Stegostoma tigrinum: one gene and its partners. The protein of the gene in region 1 interacts with the protein of each later gene in a biochemical or structural test. Links are inferred from orthologs where the notes say so. Each region holds a gene or a part of one and is shown on either strand. Other genes may lie near its edges.

The links. The genes of interacting proteins can lie anywhere in the genome.
Region 2: the proteins of rab31 (region 1) and eea1 form a complex in vitro, tested with the Homo sapiens proteins (2 studies listed by BioGRID). The link is inferred for Stegostoma tigrinum from reciprocal best matches to the Homo sapiens genes RAB31 and EEA1.
Region 3: the proteins of rab31 (region 1) and ocrl form a complex in vitro, tested with the Homo sapiens proteins (2 studies listed by BioGRID and IntAct, with this or other methods). The link is inferred for Stegostoma tigrinum from reciprocal best matches to the Homo sapiens genes RAB31 and OCRL.

Annotation. Positions count from the first base shown.
Region 1 is NC_081358.1:114,882,596-114,890,380, reverse strand, and holds the start of rab31 (ras-related protein Rab-31), read right to left. Parts: upstream 3,011-7,785; 5' UTR 2,712-3,010; coding exon 2,676-2,711; intron 1-2,675. UniProt on the Homo sapiens protein: The small GTPases Rab are key regulators of intracellular membrane trafficking, from the formation of transport vesicles to their fusion with membranes.
Region 2 is NC_081378.1:49,458,734-49,466,601, forward strand, and holds the start of eea1 (early endosome antigen 1), read right to left. Parts: upstream 3,009-7,868; 5' UTR 2,907-3,008; coding exon 2,883-2,906; intron 1-2,882. UniProt on the Homo sapiens protein: Binds phospholipid vesicles containing phosphatidylinositol 3-phosphate and participates in endosomal trafficking.
Region 3 is NC_081368.1:44,350,995-44,358,657, reverse strand, and holds the start of ocrl (inositol polyphosphate 5-phosphatase OCRL), read left to right. Parts: upstream 1-4,655; 5' UTR 4,656-4,761; coding exon 4,762-4,803; intron 4,804-4,866; exon of another isoform or gene 4,867-5,023; intron 5,024-7,663. UniProt on the Homo sapiens protein: Catalyzes the hydrolysis of the 5-position phosphate of phosphatidylinositol 4,5-bisphosphate (PtdIns(4,5)P2) and phosphatidylinositol-3,4,5-bisphosphate (PtdIns(3,4,5)P3), with the greatest catalytic activity towards PtdIns(4,5)P2.

The sequences.
Region 1 (7,785 bases):
CGCTGCCCAATGACTTTCTTTCCTCCAATATTGTCACAGTAGCAGCAGTGTGTACCATCTACAAGGGGCACTGCAGAGAGTCACCAAGGCTACTTACAATATGCCCTCCAAACCTACAACCACTACATCAAGAAGGACAAGGGCAGCAGATACATGGCAACACCAACATCTGCAAGGTCCTCTCCAAGTCACTTACCATCCTGATCTGGAAATATATCATCATTCCTTCAGTGTCACTGGATCAATATCTAGGAGCTCTCTCCCTAGTAAAATTGGGGTTCTATCTGCACCAAATGGACTGAAGCAAGTCAAGAAAGCAGCTCAGCACCACCTTCTCAAGGGGAACCTGGAGTTGACAATAATACTGGCCCAGCCAGCAGCCCCCACATCCTATGAATGAATAAAAATAACTCACCAATGCCTTCAATAAAAACCCAAAAACTCTTATCACCTAGAATAACAAAGTCAGCAGGTGCATAGGAAGCATACCCCGTGAATTCTCCTCCCAGTCACGGGCTCCCTGGCTTGAAAATATATCACCTTTCCTTCTATGTCTTTGGGTCAAAATCCTGAGTTCCCTCGCAACCAGCAGTGTGGGCGTACCTACACCTCTACAGGACCTCCATGATTTAAAAACAAATGAAAAGAACAATGGTCATATACATATGGCTCAGAACAGATACCTTCCCAAAAGAAGGACTGAAAGCAATTGTGAGGACCACCATCCCCAGCCATTTTATCAATGACTTGGAAGAGGAGCTGCTGAAGTCCAAGAGAATATCACTTTGCAGGCAACGTGGCTTATTACCATCATAACAAGCAAGTGATGGGGCGCATTACCATGCCACAGCTAAAGGGAAAGCATGGTCTGCTCCACTTTTAAAATTGATTTTTGCCATGCGTGCATTACATTGAAACACAGGATTTAAACATTCAACCCTTCCATCATTCAACTCAATGGCTCACAGTGAATCTAAATTGATAACGGCTGAAGTTTTTTTTTAATGTGGAAGAAAACAGAAATTATTGACTACATTTTACCTGAAACTAAATGTTCTTTGACAGTGTAAGGTAGCTCATTTTAGCTGGGGAACCTGGTATTGAAGCTGAAGCTTGGAGCTGGATATTATATCCTCATTTTGATTTTTCCAGCCAGCTCCAAATTGATCTTCACCTTGAACCTTCCACAGATCTGGATTCCAGGACAATTAAAAAAGTGAGCTTACTTGACTGTGACCACAATGTGGTCAGGTGTACTTGCAGGGAAAACTTTCTGTACATTAACAGGATAATCATTCCATTGGATAAGTGGTATGCAGATTAATGAGGTTTTATTTTTAAAAATATATAAAAAGTAAATATCTTCAAAAAAAAACAAGGCGACTTTTCACCTCTTCATAATTTAAGACCAAGAACTGCGAATGTTGGAAAAGTTGGAAATCTGGAACAAAAACAGAAATTGCTGGAGAAATTCAGCGGGTCTGATAGCTCGTGCTAAAAGAGAAAGCACAGTTAACGTTACAAGTCCAGTGATCCTTGTTCAGAAATGGGAGAGTATCACAAGCAGAGAATCCATTTCTGAAGAAGAGTCACCAGAAATGAAACCCTAACTCCGCTTTCTCCGCACAGACACTGCCGAGTTTCTCCAACAATTCTGTTTTTGTTACCTCTTCATAATTATCCAGTGAGTGGGATTGACCTGGAACGTTCTACCCACACAGTGCGGTGGGAGCAAAAAAGATCAAACATTTCAAAAAGAATTTGGATAACTGCCCGGGGATGTGCATTTGTAGGGATATTGAGACAGGGAGAGGGACTGGGATTGGCGGGGGTCGCTTCATAGGGAGTCAATGCTCACACAGTGAACATCTGCATTGGGCAACCATTTGCCAACGCAATACAAAGCGAAGTCAAACGGAATAATTACTCAGATGCAATTAAACCAGTTTGTCCTTTTAGCAAAAACAGACATTTGGCAGTGACTTCATTGGAAATACAAGGACCAGTCAGAAACCCTCTCGCGGTTCATGTACCGTGAACCCCATCAGCATGGACTAGTTCCCTGCACTCTCACCAAAGTGCCCAAAATGATTTCAATTCCTCCTACTTTTGCACGATCGAGACTTGCAGAATCCCACTTTGCAGCTCCACAGCCATTTCAGAACGGCAGCAGATTTCTGATCTGGTAACATAACAAAAGGGGAAGTTTGTTTCAAAAGTGAGTATCCTACGCTCCGGAATTGTATTAAATTGCCTTCAAGTTATTTTTTTAATTTAAATAATGAAGGGAAAGAATCTGGGGGTAAGGCGAGCTGCTGTCATGCTGCAGGAACTGTGGATGTGGAATTCCTCCTTGGAGACACGCAGCATTCCAACAAATCGCCCGAGTGCAGACGCTCCAATTGCAGGATGGGGGCCAACGGGGAGAGAAGCTTCAGTGTCTGAGACTTCGGAAGAAGTCCAGTCTCCAACAGGGTAAAAAAGACGGCCACAGATAGACACGAAACAGCGAGAAACGGCAGAGATATCAACTCAACCACACACACACACACACACAGACGCACAGAAATCCACAGTGTCCCAGCAGCTAGACACCAAGAGAAGTAACAGGCTTTTTTTTGTTTGAGGTGTGCACAGAACTCAAATGGGAAATGAACTCAGGCTATCTTACTCACCCCAAGGAGACAGACTTTTAATTCTCGAATAGCCATAATCAGTTGAAGGGTTGTGTCATGCTATTTGCAGGCTGGGTTGACCCAGTTCGCTGTTCGCCCGTTACCTCCTATAACGCTGCAAGCAACCAGCTCCCCTCCAAATGAACAGAAACTTCTGCAACAACTCTCAGCTCTGGCTCATCACGTGACACTCAAACTTCTTCCACAGCCCTCCTCACAATCCTCTCCCAAAGTCACTTGAAGAGCAGGATATCCTCACTCCGCTTACAGCACAGTATCTTCGAGATAACAAAGTGTCTCCAGCGTCTGCAGTTCCCATTATCTCTAGCACAGTATCTTCACTGTGCCTAGCTGCTGGGACACAGCAGAATATTCTCGCTGTACTGCACTTAAAGAACAGAATATCAAATTCTTATCCGCATGTTAACCATTTCCAGTTCTCACAGCTATTAAAGTTAATTATTTTTGTTGAAAACCATGATGTAAGAGAAAAATTTAAAAATTCCAAACATGATAAGAATGCAGCTAAAAGGTTGTATTCACTTTCTTCACAGGGAACATTGACACAATTATCTGGAATTATATCACTCCAGCAAATAACAACTTATATTCATATTGTACCTGTGTAAAATTGCTGGGCGTTTCACAGGAGTGCTAGCAAACACAACTTGACACCAAGCCATAAGGGGAAATCTTGGAACAAATGAAGAAAAGTTTGGTCAAATGGAAAGGACACAAGGGGTTAGTTCATGGAAAAGACAGAGAATTTTAGGGATGGAATTCCAAAGCTTAGGATTGAAGCTGATGATCAGATGCTCACCAATATTGAACTATTGGAAAGTGAGGATGCATAAGACACTGATTTGAAGGAGCTCATAAATCTAGAAGGTAAACTGTCCCAAAGGAGGTTATCAAGATCCAAAGGGGTAAGACACAAGAGGAATTAGGAAACATTAGAAAAGAAGGGATTTTTAAAGTCATGCTGTTATGGAGCAAGAGTCAAATGGATAAAAGTGACTTGTTATGAGGGCATCAGAATTTTGGAAATGCTCACGTTTATGGAGTGCAGGGTGTGGAAGATCTACTGAGAGACTGTTACAATAGTCAAAGCTAGAGGTAATAATGAAGAGAGTTTCAGCAACAGATGTGCTGTGGCAGTGCAGAGATGGACAATCTTCCGTGGGTCGACATTAGTGATCTTGATGATGGTGAGGAAAAGGGATCAGAAGTTTAGCACAGAATCCAGTGTGTCACCAAGGTAGCAAAATGGTTCAGCTCTTTCTCTCACAATTGCCATGGAAAGGATGACGTCAGTAGTTGGGGAATGGCTGACTTCAGAGGATCTGAAGTCAATGGCTTTGGTTTTCCAATGTTTAATTAAATTATGGCTGATCTGTACCTAAACTTTATCATTCACTCTTGTGCAACCTCTACAATGGCTAATTTTGACTTCTGTAACATTAATCAATTCCACCCTCATCTGACTTGTTTGGAACTAAAACCCTTGTCCACGCAAGGATTTGTTACATAGACTTAACTATTCCAAAACCCCCTGGCAGACTTCCCAAGTTCTGTGTGCATGATTCATTTTGGTAGAAGAAAACAGGGAGAAATGAATAATTATAAAGGGAATACGGGGGTAGAGGGCCCTGGGAGTTTCGAATCAATGAAGAAGGCAGGGAAAGTTAGGAACACAAAAAGAATCCTGAGTTATATCAATAGAGGTACAGAGTACAAAACCAAAAAAGTTATGACACATCTACATAAAGCCCAGTTTTGGTGGCATTTGAAGTTTCCCTAGTTCCAGGCTAGGCTGTCACATTTGAAGTATTGTGAGTAATTTTGACCCCCTCATTTAAAAAAAGATACATTTCAAGGGAAACAGTTCAGAGCAGGTTCACTTAGGTAATCCCCGGTATGGAAGGATTGTCTTATGAGTGAAGACTAAAGAGATTGGAACTCTACTCACTGGAGTTTAGAGGAATGAGCGGTAATCTCATTGAGACATTTAACATTTTTAAGGGTCTTGACAGGATAAATGCTGAGAGGGTATTAACCCTTTTAGAAGAGTCAAGGGTACATTTTCAGAATTAAGGGGTGCCAATTTCAGACTGACATGAAGAGAAATTTATTCTCTCAGTGGGTTGTGAGTTTTTGGAACTCCTTGCCAAAGAGATGTGTGGGTGCAGAGTCCTGTGTATTTTAGGCTGGGATAGATATATCCTTGATCAGTAGGAGAATCAAGGGTTATGGGGAAAATTCAGGAAAGTGAATGTGAGGAACATTGAATCATCAAAGATCCTACTGAATGATGGAGCCGACTTGAGGGGCTGAAAAGCCCTGTTCTTATGGTCTTGTTTCTGAAAATAGCGTGAATCGCCTCAATTTATGTTGTTCAGTTCTTTCAATTTATGGCTGATCAAAGGAAACTTATCTCTTAAATTTTAAGTGTGCTGTCCCATCAAATAAATAAATAAATCATTTGTATTCAATTTGAATAGTTTGCCTTCTTTCATTCTTGCCAAAGTCCTGTACAATTTGAACAAGAATTATTTCTTCTGGTAACTCCAATCCCCTTGCAATAAAGAACAGAATGCCATTTGCTTTTCTAATCGTTGGCTGTACCTGCACACTAACTTTGCATGTTTATTGTGTAAGCTTCCTAAGTCTTTCAGAACATCAGCATTTCTAAATGTCATACCTTTTAAAGATATTCAGTTCTTCAATACAGAGAACAAAGGTGAATAACCTCATACTCTAATACATCCACCACATGCAACTTACCCTTACTATATCTTTAGGCAACCTCTTTGGACAGAATCTTCCCAGTCACTGAACAACATGGGCATTAGCAAGAAAGTTGAGAAAATCAGGTGCAATCAGCAAGAAGGAGATTCTGGTATTGACAGCAATAATTCCCATTCTCCGTCCAAGCAAACAGGTTATTGTTTTGCAAGATGAGCATCCTGCACATGAGTAGTGAAAAGCGTATTTGCATAAATTGACATTTTATTATTACCTACACCTGCCTTATTAAAAGCAGCTCTCCAACTGCAGGATAGAATCGAGATAGCAATAATTCCCAATGTGACAGTCGGGTGCCTGGCAACTCCAGGTCTCCATCTTTAACACTGACCCCATCCATGGTTATTGGCATCAGGCCAGGGTTCAAATGCAGCTGCTGGGACATTCCATGCATGTCGATCACATTGGCTTCCAATTCCAGAATCTGCTGTCTTGTCTGGACCTCATAGATCCACACAACAGAAACATTCATGAGAGGGAATGAAACATTGGGCACACACCAGCCTGACTGCACTGCCATGGCACATCTCGAATCCACATACAATACTGTCATGTACTTCATTTTGGAGCACTCCAGCAGCTTTGGTCTATCTCACTGGGATAGTGCTCTGGGAATCAAGCCCCACAATTTCTAGAGATGTCATAAAAGTTAATACTTGAAAATGTACACAGAATCCTCCAATGTATCTGACTTGCATAACCAGGATTGATAGAAATCATGGACCAGATTGTTGTATTTAACAAAAATTAATATTTATTTCAAGCACAGTAGAACATAAGAACTCAGAGCAGGAGCAGGCAATTCAGCCCATCTAGCCTGCTCTGCCATTGAAAACAGTCATGGCTGATCTAATCTTGGCTTCAATCCCACTTTCCTGCTGTCTCCCCTGAAACCCGTAACCTGTGATTATGTAAAAATCTCTCCATCCCCTTCTTTAATTTACCCAGTGGCCCATTATCCACCATACTCTAGGATGATGAATTCTACAAATCCATGACCTCTTGGGAAAACTATTTCTTCTTAATCTCTGTTTTAAATCTGCGACCCCAGAGCCTAAAATTATCGTGTTTTGTTCTAGATTGTCCCACAAGGGGAACAACTCTCTCCACTTTAATTCCCTTGAGCATCATATATTCCTCAATAAGATTTCCTCCCATTCTTCTAAACTCTAGCCGGCATAGGCTTAAACGGCTCAATCTCTCCCTCATAAAACAAGCCTTCCATTTCTAGAATTAATCTAGAGAGCCTTCTCTGGACTGCCTCAAATGCAATTATATCCTTTCTCAGGTAAGGGATCTAAAACTACACACAGTACTCCAGGCGTGGTCTCACTAATGCCTTGTACAGTTTCAGAAACACTTCACTACTTTTATACGCTACTCCTTTAGCAATAAATGCTAAACTTCTGTTTGCTTTCCTTATTAATTGCTGGACCTGCATAAACAATATCTATAATTTATGCATGATGATACCAAGATTCCTTTGCGCTAAAGTATTTTGAATTTTCAGTACAGTTAGTTGATAAGTTGCCTTTTTATTCTTTCAAACAAATTGGACAACGTCATATTTATCCACGTTAAATTCCATCTGCCAAGTTCTGCCCCCTTCACCTACCTATCTAGATCCATATGTAAACTTCTTAATTCTTAGAATCATAGAATCCCTATAGTGTGGAAACAGGCCCTTTGGACCATCAAGTCCACACTGACACTAGGAGCATCCCACCCAGAGCCTTACCCCGTAACCCACCTAATCTACTTTTCCCAGAACACTGTGGGGAATTTAGTGTGGCCAATCCACCTAACCTGCACCACTGTGGACTGTGGGAGAAAACTGCAGCAAACCCACACAGATACAGGGAGAATGTGCAAACTCCCAACAGAAAGTTGCCTGAGGCTGGAATTGAATGTGGGTCCCTGGTGCTGTGAGGCAGCACTGAGCCACCGTGCCACCCCAACTTGCACCTTGTTTTTCCACCTATTTTCGTGTCATCAGTAACAAATGATGAACTATTAGTACATAATTCTACTATTTGGAACTCTAATCCCCATAAAAACTTGCCATCTACACACACATACTGACAGTTATAAAGAGAGGAAAAAGAAGCGGGTGTTATGGGTTGTGGGAATGACTGGGAAGGTAGTTTAATGGTCTTTGTTCACAAGGTTCGCTGAGATGGTTCTTGGGCTGATCAGAAGATACGGAGTGACTGCATCACATGTACAAAGGTCTCTGATTTACTAATTAGAAGTCACAGATTACAGCAACTGCAGAAAGAAAAACAAACTTGCTTTCTGCTAATAC
Region 2 (7,868 bases), on another chromosome or scaffold:
ATTGCTGGAAAGGCTCAACAGGTCTGGCAGCATCTGTCAAGAAAAATTCAGTTAATGTTTCGGGTCTTGCAACCCTTCCTCAGAAGTAATCTAATTTAGTACCTTCTCAGGGCCTAAGGTTGCAGGCTAGCAGGTGAAGGAGCCCTAACAAGTACAATGCTACCACCAGACAGAGGAGTGCCTTTAAAGTGGGTGAAGTACAGTCAGCATGCAATTTGTTCCTGACTGTTGCTGTGCTTTCCGTGTGTTGTTAGAACTGCTTCTGTCCAAAAAAGTGGACAAAAGTGTTTTTGTTCAGTAGAATATTCAAAGATTTGGTCAGAAGAACATTCTAAAACAGTAAAAAACAATACAATCCTAAAAGAGTGGATAAGCAAAGGGACCCATACACATCTATCAAAAGATCAATGAGAGTGGCAGGCCATTTGGAGATTGCAGTTAATAAAGCTCTGCGGTCAGCTATACTAATAGCGGCATACAGTACAAAAACAGGGAGGTAATGTTGAAATTGCACAAGACACATAATAGACCTCATCCAGAATTCTGTGTACAGTTGTAGGGACATTATAAGAAAGATGTGAATGCACTGCAGGTAGGACATAGATTATTTACAAGCATGGATCCAGGGATGAGAAACTACAGTTATTAGGATAGATTGAAGAAGTTGGGATTGGTCTCCTTTGAGAGAAGGCAGCAAAGAGGATTTCTGATGTAGGTCCTCAAAACCATGAAAGGACTAGACAGAGTAGACCAGGAGAAGCTATTCCTGCTAAAAAAAATTGCGAGGAACTAGATATAAAAGGATGCACAAATGAAGCAAGGATGATGTGACAGAACTTTTTTGGGGGCAAGCAGTTAGAGTATGGAATGCATTACCAGGAAATGTGATGGAGGCAGGTTCAATAGAGGCATTCTAAAAGTCATTAGATGATTACTGAGATGTAAATGGTGTGCAGGGATATGGAGAAGAGTCAGGCAATAGGTAACAAAACCAGGCCAGGCACAATAGGCTAAATGGGCTCCTCGTGCGCTGTAACAATTTTGTCATATTGTGGAAATGCTTTATCCTGGATGGTGTCAAACTTCTTGAGTGTTGTTGGAGCTGCACTAATCCAGGCAAGTGGGGAGTATTCCATCACACTCCTGACACATGCCTTGTGGATGGCGGTTAGGCTTTGGGGATTCAGGAGGTGAGTTACTTATTGCAGTATTTCCAGCCTCTGACTTGTTCTGTATTTATATGGCAAGTCCAATTGAGTTTCCGATCAATCGTAATTCCCAGGACGTGAAGAGCGGATGATTCACTGATGGTAACACCATTGAATGTCAAGGGAAAGTGGGTGGATTGTCTCTTATTGGTAATGGTCATTGCCCGACAATTGCATGGTATGAAAGTTACTTGCCACCTTTTTGTTTTGCCCAAGGCTGGATATTGTCCAGATCCTGTTGAACATAGACTGCCTCAGTATCTGAGGAGTTGCAAATAGTGCTGAATAATGTGCAATTATCAGCAAACATCGCCACTTCTAATGTTATGATGGACGTAAGGTCATTGAGGAAGCAGCTGAAGATGGTTGGGCCAAACAGGGCAGAGTATCAGCACAACAACTCCCCCCAGGATAGTGTCCCACAACACCCCTAACACTTAGACAAAAAGCCAAAGCAAAACCCCCTCCAAATCTCCACCCCTCAGTTGTGACCCTCTGCCAAGGCATGTCTAGTCCCAGTAATGCACTGGTAGCCAAGTTTCTTTATCTCAGCTTTAGTATTGGGTCTATAACATGACCCAGAATCAAGATGCTTACCACTCACCTATATCACACACAAGGTAAAGAGGCACCAGGAATTGGCTGGTAAATAATTTGCCATGTGTTGAGCAAATGTGAAATAAAGCGACTGAATAGAAACATTCTGGGAGACATTTGTTATGATCTGCAGAGAGACCAATAACGGTGAGAGCAGAGACGGACACCGAGCAGGACCTGAGTGTAGGTGCCATAACAAATGAGCTTCTTTTAGAGAATATATTCTCTGCTAATACCACACTCCTGGAAGCATGTGTCTCAGGTCCCAAAATAACATCAAGCCACTGTAGGAAGCCAGTCTCATTCTTCTGGAATATGTCTAACACACCAGACAGCAACAGAACTGTCAAACACAGAAAACTGACAACAGACAAAAATAACATTGCACAAGAAATCTAACACAACCTTTAAAACAAGGAAATACAGAAAATACACCAGGGCACAGAATGCAGTTTTAACCCCGTTCAGCAGATGGATGGCTTATGGGATCGGGATTTACAACCCTGCCCAGTATTAATGATAATCCACTAACTTCAGAGTGAATTGGGAAGGATAGTTGATGAAAGGAGACAAAGCCTGTTTTCTGACACAGTTTCAATTAGATTTATTCCCAGACACACCCAACCCCATTCCCACATTCAGGAACACACAGACTCACACAAGATCACAACCCAACCAATCCTCCCAGTGACCCTGAACCACCCCAAATAGCTGCCCGCCTCAGACATACTGCCCACCCACAACAGCCCCTCGACCAACACCACCCACTCACCCAGAAAAACCCTTAGACACAAACACAGAGCTATGCGACCCCACCCCAAAATGGATGGTGTCAAAGGTGGGGAGGTGGCTGGGGGTTGAGGGTAGGGAGAACAGTGACAGACGGGGTGAGGGTGGTGGGTGTGAGATGAGAACGGGGTGTGTGTGTGTCGGGGTGGGGGTGGTCCGTGCCCCGTCCCGGGTGGGGCTCGATGCTGCCGCAGGCCGCACTCAGGCCTTGGCTCCTGCAGGATGGGGAGGAGTACCCAGGGCCTGCCTGCCGGGGCCGGGATCCCAGCCCGTATCCCTCAGACTCACCCGCTGCAAAATCCGGCGGAACATGGCCTGGTCCTGCCCGAGAGACAGACGGAGCCGGGGACACGTTGAGCAGAGCCTGGGCCGCCGCCTCCTCCTTGTCCTGCCAGAGCCAGCAGCCGGCTGTGTTAGCCCCACCCAGAAAGGGAGGGGCCTGAGCACTAACGCCCCCTGGCCGAGGGGATGGGGGAGGTGCCCCCGGGGTGGGGTTGGGGGAGGTGCCCGCAAGGTAGGGCCAGTGGTTGGGGGTGGGTGTCACCGGGTTAGGGCCAGGGGGTGGGGGAGGTGCCCCCGGGGTAGGGCCAGGGGTTGGGGGTTGGGGGAGGTGCCCGCAGGGTAGGGCCGAAGGTTGGGGGAGGTGCCCCTGGGGTAGGGTTGGAGGAGGTGCCCGCAGGGTAGGGCCAGGGGTTTGGGGAGGTGTCCTCAGGGTAGGACCAGGGGTTGGGGGAGGTGCCCGCAGGGTAGGGCCAGTGGTTGGGGGAGGTGTCACCGGGTTAGGGGTTGGGGGAAGTGCCCCTGGGGTAGGGCCGGGGGTTGGGGGAGGTGCCCCTGGGGTAGGGTTGGGGGAGGTGCCCGCAGGGTAGGGCCAGGGGTTTGGGGAGGTGTCCCCGGGGTAGGGCCAGGGGTTTGGGGAGGTGTCCTCAGGGTAGGACCAGGGGTTGGGGGAGGTGACCCAGGGTAGGGCCAGGGGTTTGGGGAGGTGCCCCCGGGGTGGGGTCGGGGGATGTGCCGGCAGGGTAGGGCCAGGGGTTGGGGGGGTGTCACCGGGGTAGGGCCAGGGGTTGATGGAGCTGCCCGTAGGGTAGGGCCAGGGGTTGGGGGAGGTGTCACCGGGGTAGCATAGGAAGAGGTGGGGGTTAGTGCCATACCTCTCTCTCCTTCCTAGATCTCTCTGCCTCCATCTCTGCTGACCGCCTCAAAACTGACATCTATTTCAAGCCCACCAACTCCCACAGCTACCTAGACAACACCTCCTCTCACCCACATTCCTGCAAGAATGTTATCCCCTAGTCCTAATTCCTCCGCCTTCGCCGCATCAGCTCCCAAGATTAGGTGTTCCACTCCCAAACATCCCAGGTGTCCTCTTATTTCAAGGACCACAACTTCACCCCTTTAGTGGTCAAAAATGCTCTCCACTGCATCTCTTGTGTTTCCCGCACTTCTGCCCTCACAACCCCTCCCCCCCAACAAAAACAAAGACAGAATTCCCCTTGTCCTAACATATCACCCCACCAACCTGCGTATCCAATATATCATTCTCCGCCACTTCCACCACCTACAATCTGAACCCACAACCAACAATATATTTCCTTCCCATCCCCATCTGCCTCCCTTAGGGTCTGCTCTCTCGGTGACTCCCTCGTCCGATCCACACTCCCCACTAATCCCACCAGCCCCACAGCCCTCAGCACCTCTCCCTGCAACTGCAGGATGTGCTACACCTGCCCTTACACCTCCCCCCTCATCCAAGGCACCCAACAAACCTTTCACATCAGACAGAGATTCACCTGCACATCCGTCAATGTGGTCTATTGCATCCACTGCTCCTGATGTGGCCTCCTCTACATCGGTGAGACCAAGCAGAGGCTCGGAGATCGCTTTGTACTGTGCCTACACTTGATTCACGACAAATGACAACGCTTTCCAGTCCCGAACCATTCCAACTCCCCCTCCTACTCCCTGGGTGACGTGTCCATCCTGGGTCTCCTCCAGTGTCACAATGACGCCACCCAGAAACTGGAGGAGCAGCACCTCATATTCCGCCTCGGGAGCCTACAGCCCAATGGCCTAAACGTGGACCTTGCCAGTTTTAAAATCTCCCCAAGTCCGGCCTCATCCCATGACCAACCCTCCCTCTCATCCAGCCTCCTTGACCTGACACAACCTGTCCATCTTCTCTCCCACCTATCCGCTTCTCCCACCTCACTTGACCTTCTTACAAAAGAAATTTGAACTTCCAGTTAACAGATGAAAGGCCAACATGAGGAGATTGTATTTTTGAGATTTATTGTAACAAATTAACTAAAAGTAACAATGACTGAACACTGCCTTTACTTTAAATTATAGAACCAAAATTTTTCTCCTTTACTTTTAACGTACTGAAAACCCAGTTTTCCAGGTAAACATTATGCTGTCTATCAAGCAGGCTGTCTATCAATTTTTAGACTCTTCCCCACAATTCTTTCTCTAGTACATCAACGACATCAATGACACCTGGGGCGGCATGGTGGCTCAGTGGTTAGCACTGCAGGCTCACAGCGCCAGGGACCCAGGTTCGATTCCACCCTTGGGTAACTGTCTGTGTGGAGTTTGCACATTCTCCCCATGTCTGTGTGGGTTTCCTCCAGGTGCTCCGGTTTCCTCCCACAGTCCAAAGATGTGCAGGCTAGGTAGATCAGCCATGCTAAATTGCCTGTAGTGTTCAGGGGTGTGTGGGTTGTAGGGGGATGGCTCTGGGTGGGATGCTCCCGGGGGGGTGAGGACTTGTTGGGCCGAAGGGCCTGTTTCCACACTGTAGGGAATCTAATCTAATCTGTGCTGCCTCCCTCCCTTGTCCTGATCTGGGAAAAAAAGATCAATTTCACTTCCAATTTCCACCCTACCCTCACCCTCATCTGGGCCATCTCTGACTCCTCCCTTCCTTTCATTAATGTCCTGTTTCTATTTCTGGGGAAATAGGCTGGCCACTGACATCTGCTAGAAACCCACCAACTTGCCTGGTTACCTGGACTGTACATTCTCGCACCTTGCTTCTAGTAAAAACTTGATCGCATTCTCCCAGTTTCTCCATCACTGTTGTGTCTGTTCTGACGATGCCACTTTCCTCAGGGAGCCCAGGAAATTTCCAGCTTTTTCCTCAACTGAGGATTCCCCGCTACTGTGGTTGAAAGACCCTTAGCCATGTCTGGCCCATCTGCCTTTACCCCTTCCCTTCCCTCCCACATCAACGATAGGATCCCACAGTCCTCACTTACAACACCACCAAGCCTCTGAATCTAAAGGATTGTAAGTCGCCAACTCCGTCACCTCTAGCGGGATGCCGCAAACAGGCACATGTTCCTCTCCCCACCCTTTGTCAGCATTCTGTTCCCTCTGGGACACCTTGGCCCACTCCTCGCCCATTCCCAACACCTCCCCACTCTCCCACAGCACCATCCTATGCAAACGCTGAAGGTGTTACACCTACCTGCTCACCTCCCTCCTCACTATCCACGGCCTCAAACACATCTACTGTAGTCCCTGCCCACAATGTGGTCTCCTCGACACTGGGGAGATGAAATACAGACTGGGTGACTGCTTTGCAGGACACCCAAGCTCTGTTTTCAAAAATGACCCCGAGCTTCCAGTTAGCTGTGACTTCACCACACCACTGTGTTCCCACACCAACATTTCCGTCTTGAGCCCACTGTTCTAGTAATCCTCAGTGCAAGCTCACACAGATCCTGGGGGGGGGTCTAGGCCCAAAACGTCAGCCTTCCTGCTTCTCTGATGTTCCTTGGCCTACTGTGTTCATCCAGCTTCACACAGTGTTATCTCAGATTCTCCAGCATCAGCAGTTCCTACTATCTCTCTCAAATCATGTAGCTGTTTTGTTTCTTAAATTGTCAGGGTATTTCCCCTTTATTTCCTCTTTTTCTGCTACCCTCAATCTTACCCATTAGCACCAGGTGTTTTAGTTTCCGTCTCTTGAGTGTATGACCAAGGCATTATAGTTGTTTTATGGTGACCATCTGCAGATGTTTTCTTGTATTTCTGCTTTGCTCAAAAGTCCCATGACTAAATCCAACTAATGCTATTTATAACAAATACCTTTTCTATACCATTTTCTAAAATCAAAACTGAATACCAGTAATACTATTTCTTGTCAAAATATTAAATATATTATAATGTTCTTCACTCTACCAAGTGATCCTTCCTAGTTTGTTTTCTTTATTTTGCTGAAATAAACCACACAGAATGACAGAAAAAGCCATTCAGCCCATTGTGTTTATTCCAGTTCTCTTAATGAGTGTCATGATCTAGTACCATTCTCTTGAATTTCCCCTGTAACCCCACATATTGATGATTATCTAAATAGAAACAATATCTGAAGAAGGGTCTAGGCCCGAAACGTCAGTTTCCTGCTCCTCTGATGCTGCTTGGACTATGTGTTCATCCAGCTCTGCACTTTGTGATCTCAATACCTCCATTGAACCTGCCTCCATCACGTTTCCAGGAGGTACATTCCCGACCCTAATCACTTGGAGGGTGAAAACTACTCTCGTCATACTTACCCCTTTTGCAAATTGCTTTAAAACTGTGCCCTCCCGTTCTTCACCCTTTTGAAAGCAGGAATAGATTTGCTCTCTGTGCCATCCAGATCTCTTATGATTTTGAAAATTACAATCAATTCTCCTCTCAAAGGAAGACAGTCCCAATGTCATAGCATCATAGAATCCCTACAGTGTGGTAACAGGCCCTTCGGCCCAACAAGTCCACACCACCCCTCAGAACATCCCACACAGATCCATCCCTCATAACCCAACTAACCTATGCATTCCTGAACACCATGGGCAATTTAGCACGGCCAGTCCACCTAACTTGCACACCTTTGGACTGTGGGAGGAAACCGGAGCACCCGAAGGAAACCCACACAGACACAGTGAGAATGTGCAAACTCCACACAGACAGTCACCCGAGGCTGGAGTCAAACTCAGGTCCCCAGCACTGTGAGGCTGCAGTGCTAACCACTGAGGGTAGTTACGTTGGTGCAGGATCGATGGGCCGAAGGGCCTTTTCTGTGCTCTATGAATCTATGAATTTCTCCAATCTACCCTCACAGCTGAAATGTGTCATCCCTGGAACTATTCTTGTAAACTTCTCTGTGCTCTCTCAAAAAATTCCTGAAGTGTAGCACTTTTATTCCAACTGAAATCTAACTTGTGCCTGAACATGTTCAACACTACCTCCCTGCTCTTGGACTCTGTCCCGTTATTAATGAAGGCTAGA
Region 3 (7,663 bases), on another chromosome or scaffold:
GGACTTTATTTTACCCAGTGCTCGACTGGTCATGGTGAAGATTGATAGTAGCAGAGGTCAAATGTTGGATAAACACTAGTAACCTTGTCCCAAGCCCCACATCACCCACAAAATTGCATAATTGCAAACAAAATAGGCTTCTACCATTCTTACCTTTCAGTTGGAGAGGTAACCAGTTTGTGTGGCCCTCTATCCTGTAGGAAGTCTTGAATTAACTGTGTGTGATGTGGCCCACTGGTGTCTCATTTAAGGTCACCTGTGGTTACTTCTGCTTCACAGAGTTTTCTGTCTGCAATTTGCAAGGACTAATGACATGGACGACATTGTCTTTGATCAGTATTTGAACTGTTAAAGCCCATCCCTGGCATATCGGACTGGATTGGAGCCTGCATTCTTGGCTAAAAAATGACGCGCTCAGCCCAAGCTTGGTGCAGCAGAATGTGGAAGCAAATGCAGGTCAAGCTGGACACTGTCAGTACCAGGCTTGGTCTGGTAGTCAGATTCACCCGCTTGACCAAACCTCCACATCTCTTTCTGCCTAGTGTTCCCTGGATAGTGTTTCTTCACAAAACCCTGGGCAAAAAAAACTGAAAGAACTGTAGATTGTGGAAATCTGAAACAAAATCAGAAATTGCTGGAAAAGGGTAATTGGATATGAAACTTTAACTCTGATTTCACTTCACAGATGCTGCCAGACATGCTGAGATTTTCCAGTAGTTTCTGACTTTGTTTCACAGAACCTCACCTGTGCTCAACCACCACATTAAACTGAATTTTCACATATCCATCTTACCACCTGGACCCTGTTACTATACCTTGGTGATGACCACCATCTTGCAAATGAAGTTGCAATGATGATTGTATCCTATCATTCCTCCTCCCGTAGCATCCCATGCTCTCTCATGCATTACCAGCTCTCCTCTTACATACTGAGATCCCCTCCATCCCCATCCATGTGCCCTCCACATCCCTGGCTACAGCCCACAATCCCTGCATTAATCCCTTACATCTCCCTCACTCCTCAGCCTATGCAGAGATGGATCACTTGACCATTACTGGTTCATCTGGATGTCTGGCTGTTGCTAAGCTCATGCTCTGTAAGACTGCACTTGACCATCTGCACTAGGACCCCCAAATGCTAGCAGCATCTCTTGATTCCCCTCAGGACTATTCCCCTTCAACTTTGAGACGTGACCATTTGGTTATAGAGATGCAGAACGTTTGCCATGCAGGAAGCTGGCACATTCTCCAGGTGTGAGTTTGATTTTGATCTGATTTATTGTTGTCACATGTCGTATCTGTTCACCCCCGACTGTTGACAAGGGTGACAAATTGCCTGGCTTTGTTTCTACAATCAAGTGCAAAACAATACAGAAGTACTGTGAGACTTTACATTGTTGTTCTTCAAGGGCAACATGTTGAAGACAAAACAAGGTAAGATGGGAATACCGTGAGCATCCAGGTAGTTGCTAAGCAAGCAAGTGCTAAGAGATGATGTGGCACCCCTGAGATGCAGCCTGGTCCAGTTTGCGAGATGGGTGCCTGTTCATGTGAGCTGTGACCTGTCAGTGATATTGCAATGAGAGCTGCAAGTGTGGCTTAAAGTGCAACATCACAGCACAGAGTCACATTGTAAGTGGATTAGGATGTATCAAAGGATGTGGACAGGTTGGCTATTGCCCCACCAACCCCCACCCTGCAAGCATCTGTGGATGTGGGTGGGAAAAGCAACTGCTCTGGGGCCTGTCTGAAATGTTGATGCTGGGTGTCCAGGTTGGCTGTCTGGAGGAACAATCGTGTTTACCAGGTGCACATTCTGACTTTTATTTTGTGAATTCTTGGCATTGAGAATTTGTATCATTCCTATCAGTTGCTTGGTAGCATAGGAACTTGCATATTAGTGTCAATGAGGGCAATATTAAGCAAAAAGCCCTATCGATAGGCATTTCACCGCTCCCTAACAACAATCTTGTCTCAATACCTGGCACGCTGTTGAAAATGTAATTTCATGCTCCCAATATTGAGAAAAGCCCCATTGGACTTCTCACTGAATTCTCTGAGATTCCTTGTCACTTCCCAAGTTGTTCAGGATCCAGTAGGATTCTGCCCGTAAAAACTAAAAAAAATTGTGACAGACGCTGTTACATGTAACAAGTCTGATATTGTTCAATTAACATGTGAACCAATTTCAGCACACAGCGAGGAACTTCCCCACATTCATGTTAGTTATAAATATTGCAAACCCAAACACCAGTAAATAGTTACTCATACATTCTTCTTTTACACTGCACCTGTTGGTGCATCATAGTTTCTCACGCCATTCTGTGCCTGAGAAATACATGCAGCTCCTTTGAATTTCTATGCCTCTGTCTTTAAGCTTTGCCGAATTTAAACATTCACATGTTGCTTTAAGGCTTGTTTGTTATTTCTCAATTGGGAATGAATTTAGGCGAAGAAATCTTCCATCCTTAGCAGGCTTAGACTACATGTAATTCCAGAAATGTAGCTTATCTTAACCAGCCCTCTAAATGGCCAAGAAAGCCTTTTGATTCAAAGACAGTTTGGGATGGACAATCAATGCTAGCTTTGTCAGTGATGCCAACATCCCACGATAACAAAAATAACAAAAAGACCAGCTTTCCTACAATTGGGAGTAATTTTGTAATTGTCTAACATAGAAATAAACAATAAGGTATATCTTATTTATGCATTAGAGGTCAATTATTTTCAATGTGTTATAGTGCACAGTTAATTCTTGTTTAGTATGGTTAACATAGAACAGTACAGCACAGAACAGGCCCTTCAGCCCACAATGTTGTGCCGACAAATCTCAGAAAGTTTATTAACTGCTTTTACTTATTTTAACTCATATTTAAGGAATATTTATGTGGTGCAGAACATTTGCACATGATTCATACTCTGCCAGGATGACAGCTGCACTATTGCAAATGAACATTGTGTTACAAAAGGAAAAATACTATATTGAAACACACTTTTTGTAATCTTTTGTCTTTGTTAAAGCCGCTCAATTTGTAATGCATGTATGCTCTTCTGGTGCACAGTTGTATGAACAAACTCTGTTTTCTTTTCATGGATGTACCTATTTTTGTACTCATTTTGTACGCTGTGTTTGTACAACCATTGCCCATTAAGGTTAGTAAGTTTTCCAACATTGTTTTATTGCCAAATGTCAGAACTGAATGATCTCATACACTAATTCTTCCCTCTTAAATCCCTGGTCTAATTTGGCACTTGTCAGAAAGAGTTAATTCAAAACATTGAGCTTTCCTCATGTTGAAGATGTAGGGTACTGTACTAAAATCTGATTTATCACTTGAATCATAGAATGCCTACAATGTGGAAGAAAGCCATTCGGCCCATCAAGTCCACACCAACCCTCCGAAGAACAGCCCACCTGGACCAAACCCCCTACCCTACCCTGTAACCCTGCATTTCCCATGGTCAATCCACCTAACCTGCACATCTTTGGATTTATTATATCTCTTCACTGGCTCCCAGGCTGTTTGTACTTTTTCCTGCCAAAATGTGCCAGTGTTAATATTTGCACACAATGTGTGAGGTTATGATCGTTGTCCACTGTTGTTTGATGCTGCAGTTCCTCAACTTCTAGTTCTTCTTCAGTCCTGCATTCATCACTACTGACACATGATGTAGGAGGGAAGGTCACGTGCTGGGAAAGTCAACGTGGACTCTTGTGGTCTGATAGCAGAACTGACTTCACATTGCATGTAGTTTATGGCGTTGATCATATGGTTCTTTGCTGCTGTTTTGCAGCTGTAACCATGAATGGGTTTATTTGAAGACACAAGCTTTCAGAATCTGGCTCCTTCCTCAGGTGTCAGTGAGAGGTGCCATCAGACACAATTTATAAGCAAAAGATCAAAGGGTCATAGAACTGATGCAAATGTGTTGAACAAACCTAAGATGGCTGTTAAATCTTCAATCGGTTAGAAAGGATTAATATGCAAATTCCAGAATGTCTTCCAAGTCACTGCCCTGAGATAACTAAGGGTTTTACCAGTATATCGGAGATGACATCTCAGGTCAGACAATGCATTTTAAGTGAGGGGGCCTTGTTTCGAATGACGCTGTGCATCAACACGGAGTTGGACTGGGAGCATGATGCCAAAAGCTGTGTCTTCAAATAAATTTGCTGGACTGTAGTGCCATACGATCTTTGACCTTGTCCACCCAAGTCCAACACTGGCACCTTCATGTATGTGGGTGGAGTGTCCCTGGAAAAGGATCATGAGTTCTGCCCGGCGTGCCTATGCTTCCGTGACTAGAGGGTACCTTAGGGACTACAGTGTACAGTAAATTCAGAAATTGTTGTGGTTTGTTTTATGGTTTGGTTTTTGATTATATTTTAGTGTTGCCCTGCGGTGCAATTAATATCAGAGCTGTCCTCAGAAAAAAAATGCTAGCTATGAGAATGAGAAACGCAATATATTTTGCAGCGTTTTTCAATGTACGTTGTTGCTTATTTCGAGAGATATTAAAATATGCTATAATTAAATTGTGGTGCGCTACCTCTGTAATGTTCAGGAGTGCATTAGCTCATGTAGGAAGGTAGCGCTCCACCCTCCAGGTCAGAAGGTGGCGCCGCTCTTGGCCTGCCCAGTGGGAGGATCGAACTCGTTGGCGTTGGCTGACTGACTGAAGCAATGTCGCCGAGGTGAAGGTACCGAGCTGTGGTCCGAATTGCGTGGCGGGTAGGGGAACTGTACGCCGGGAAACCTTATGGAGAAGCCGGCACCGAGAGGAAAAGGGAAGCCCGTGATAATATCCTTTAACATGGGGCAGATGAGCAAATTAGCGACTGGGTGTAACATAGGGCCGGGATCCTGGCAACTGAGGAACACAACAGAAACGAGCTGGGGCCCGGCCGGCTCAAAGAGCGGAGGCAGCGCTGGGCCCAGCCTGAATCTTCCTACCAGCAGCCCACTCATCGGTCCAGTGCACTTCTTCCACCACTGCAACCTGCCCACCACCTCTTAACCCTGTAAGATAGACAGTGGTTGCTGATCCGTGAAGTTTTTTTTAATTCGAGACTCTTTGGAGATTTTATCCTGAACGCATTGTGTTAGTTGTTAGAAACACTGTACTTCCAGAGTTTGCAGGAATGGTTTGTTTTGTTGCTGAGTTGGTGCTCTGCAATCTACCCTTTTGTGGTTTTGCTCTGCAGTGCTGATGCACGAGATCATTAGTTTGTGACGAAGACACTTCGTTGTCGTTTGTAAGCTTGCATATTTATTTCAAAGCTCTGCAGTTTTTGCGAAAGGCTTGTATTAATATAGTGTTGATATATGCATAGGTTAGTTAGGAATCTACATATGGTGTTAACCACGCCCACCCCCCACCCCATTGAATCCGAATGGCTCGCCTCTTGAGAGGACCAAAATGAACGGTGGTGGGCCGTTGCACTATGAGGTGCATCAGAGCTGAGCCTCATCCCAATTCCAACTCGTGTCAGTGTTTTTGATGGAATCATAACATAGCAAACGAGAGTAGGATTTCTGTTGTTTTCCTCTTTCAGCTTTTTTTATTCATTAACGTTGTGAATGTTGCTGGGTAGGCCAGCATTTATTGCCCATCTATTTTGCCCACGAAGCAGTTAAAATTCCAACACTTAGCTGTGGCTTTGGGGATGCGTGTAGTGTGCAGTGTCCTTCCTTAATGGACTTTAATGAACCTTATGGGTTTTTCCAACCATCAATAATAGTTTCATGAGTATCATTAGACTCTTAATTCCATTTTTTTCAGTTGCATGTGAGATCCCCGGGATATTACTTGGCTCTCCGGATTAATCCTGTGTCAAAGACACCACAAGACCATGACCTCCCCTTAAACAGAATTGTTTAAATTATTTGTTGTTCGTTCCAAGGTGTTAAAGCCAGTTGTAACTCTAGTTACCACTCATTTTGGATTGTCTAACCAAGCATGCACAGGCCTACTGATTTATGTAGCTTAACATAATCTCACATTGTGATCAATTGTTATGAAAATGAACTTGAATGTGTGATGATAACATTCTGACATTCTGATGCGGATAACAAATCGGACTATGAATTTATGGATTTGTTTCAGTCAGAATGTTGAAAATAAAAGTTTCTGAAATCATTACTCCAATACTACGATTGTTGCTACATTTACCACATTCCAAGCAGACCATTAGAAAGAAACAACTGGTTGTGGTTTAACCTAAGAGTCGTTGGGCGTCAGATGAGGGAAGAAGTTAAGGGGAGCCTTTCGTAGTAACCTCAGTTGGTGCAGGAATTGAACCCACATTTTTTGGTGTTAACTCTGTTTTGCAAACCAGTTGTCCAGCCAACTGGGCTAATCAACTTTATTTTTTTCTAAGACCCCTGTAGATTCCATTTCTCATCAGGCGTAAGTCTTCTTTACGCAACATGATTGCATTAGAAAGCCACATCAATAAGCCTTCAATTTGTACATAATGGTTCTGAAACCTCTTGGGTGTTTCGCTATTTTGACTTGCTGGAAGTATAGTAAAAGCTATCCAAACTGATCTCTCAGATCAGAAATGTAAATGACAAAAATAGGGGAAGGAAATTGAAGGAAAGAGTTTTTGGGATATATTCTGGAGTTATTCAAAACTCTAAAGGATACATGTTCAGGGAACTGCATTGTTAATAATTCTGAAGTCATAAATTTGATCATTAGGTTCAGTTTTCACTTTGTAAGAGAAGTCAGAACAGTTTGCGTTTAGCTATGTTATATATGATTTGGTGACTAGCTAGAATATGTTGTCCATGGAAAGTGGAAAATGGCAATAAATTTAGGATGATGGATATGGAGAAAAAGGGTTAAGGACTATGATCATCTATGTAAAAATCAAAAGAACTGCAGATGCTGTAAATCAGAAACAAGAGCAAAACTTCTGGAAATGCTCGGCAGGTCTGGCACATCTCTGAAGAGAAATCAGAGTAACATTGTGAATCTGGTGATTCTTACTCAGAACATTCTGAGGAACCTTCACCAGACCGAAACGTTAACTCTGATTTCTCTGAAGAGATGCTACCAGACCTGCTGAGCTTTTCCAGCAACTCCTGTTTTTGTTTCTGTTCATCGTGATGTTTTGAGCTTTGGTTCATTTGGATGGTCTGTAATTCTCTCTTTCAGATCTTGTTTGTGACAGTTTTTTTCTATTCAGTTCTCTATGTCATTCGTAAAATGCTGTAATCACGGCCAGGCATCTATTCAATTTTTGTTTGTAATTTCCGTGACCTTCTTTCATTTTTCTACTTCAGTCAAACCATTTTTGACTAAAATTCACTACACTTAATACTTGGTAAATCTTGCACCTCTAAGAGTAGCATTAATATTTTGCAAGTGGAGTGAGCATTTTTGTAATATACATCATGCTGTATGAAATACTTACTGAGTTAAAATCCAGGAGCTCCCTTCCAGTCAGCACTGTACATGGTCCGATGAGTGGTTCAAGAAAGCAGCTCACCACCACATCACCAAAAGCTATACAGAATAGGCAATAAATGTGGGCCTAGTAAGTGATGTCTGTATCCCACAAATGTATTATAAAAGTTGGATTGATAATATATTGTGAACCTGTTTACTGGCCTGTACAGATGTGGTTACAGTGATGATGCTGTCCCCTCTGAAG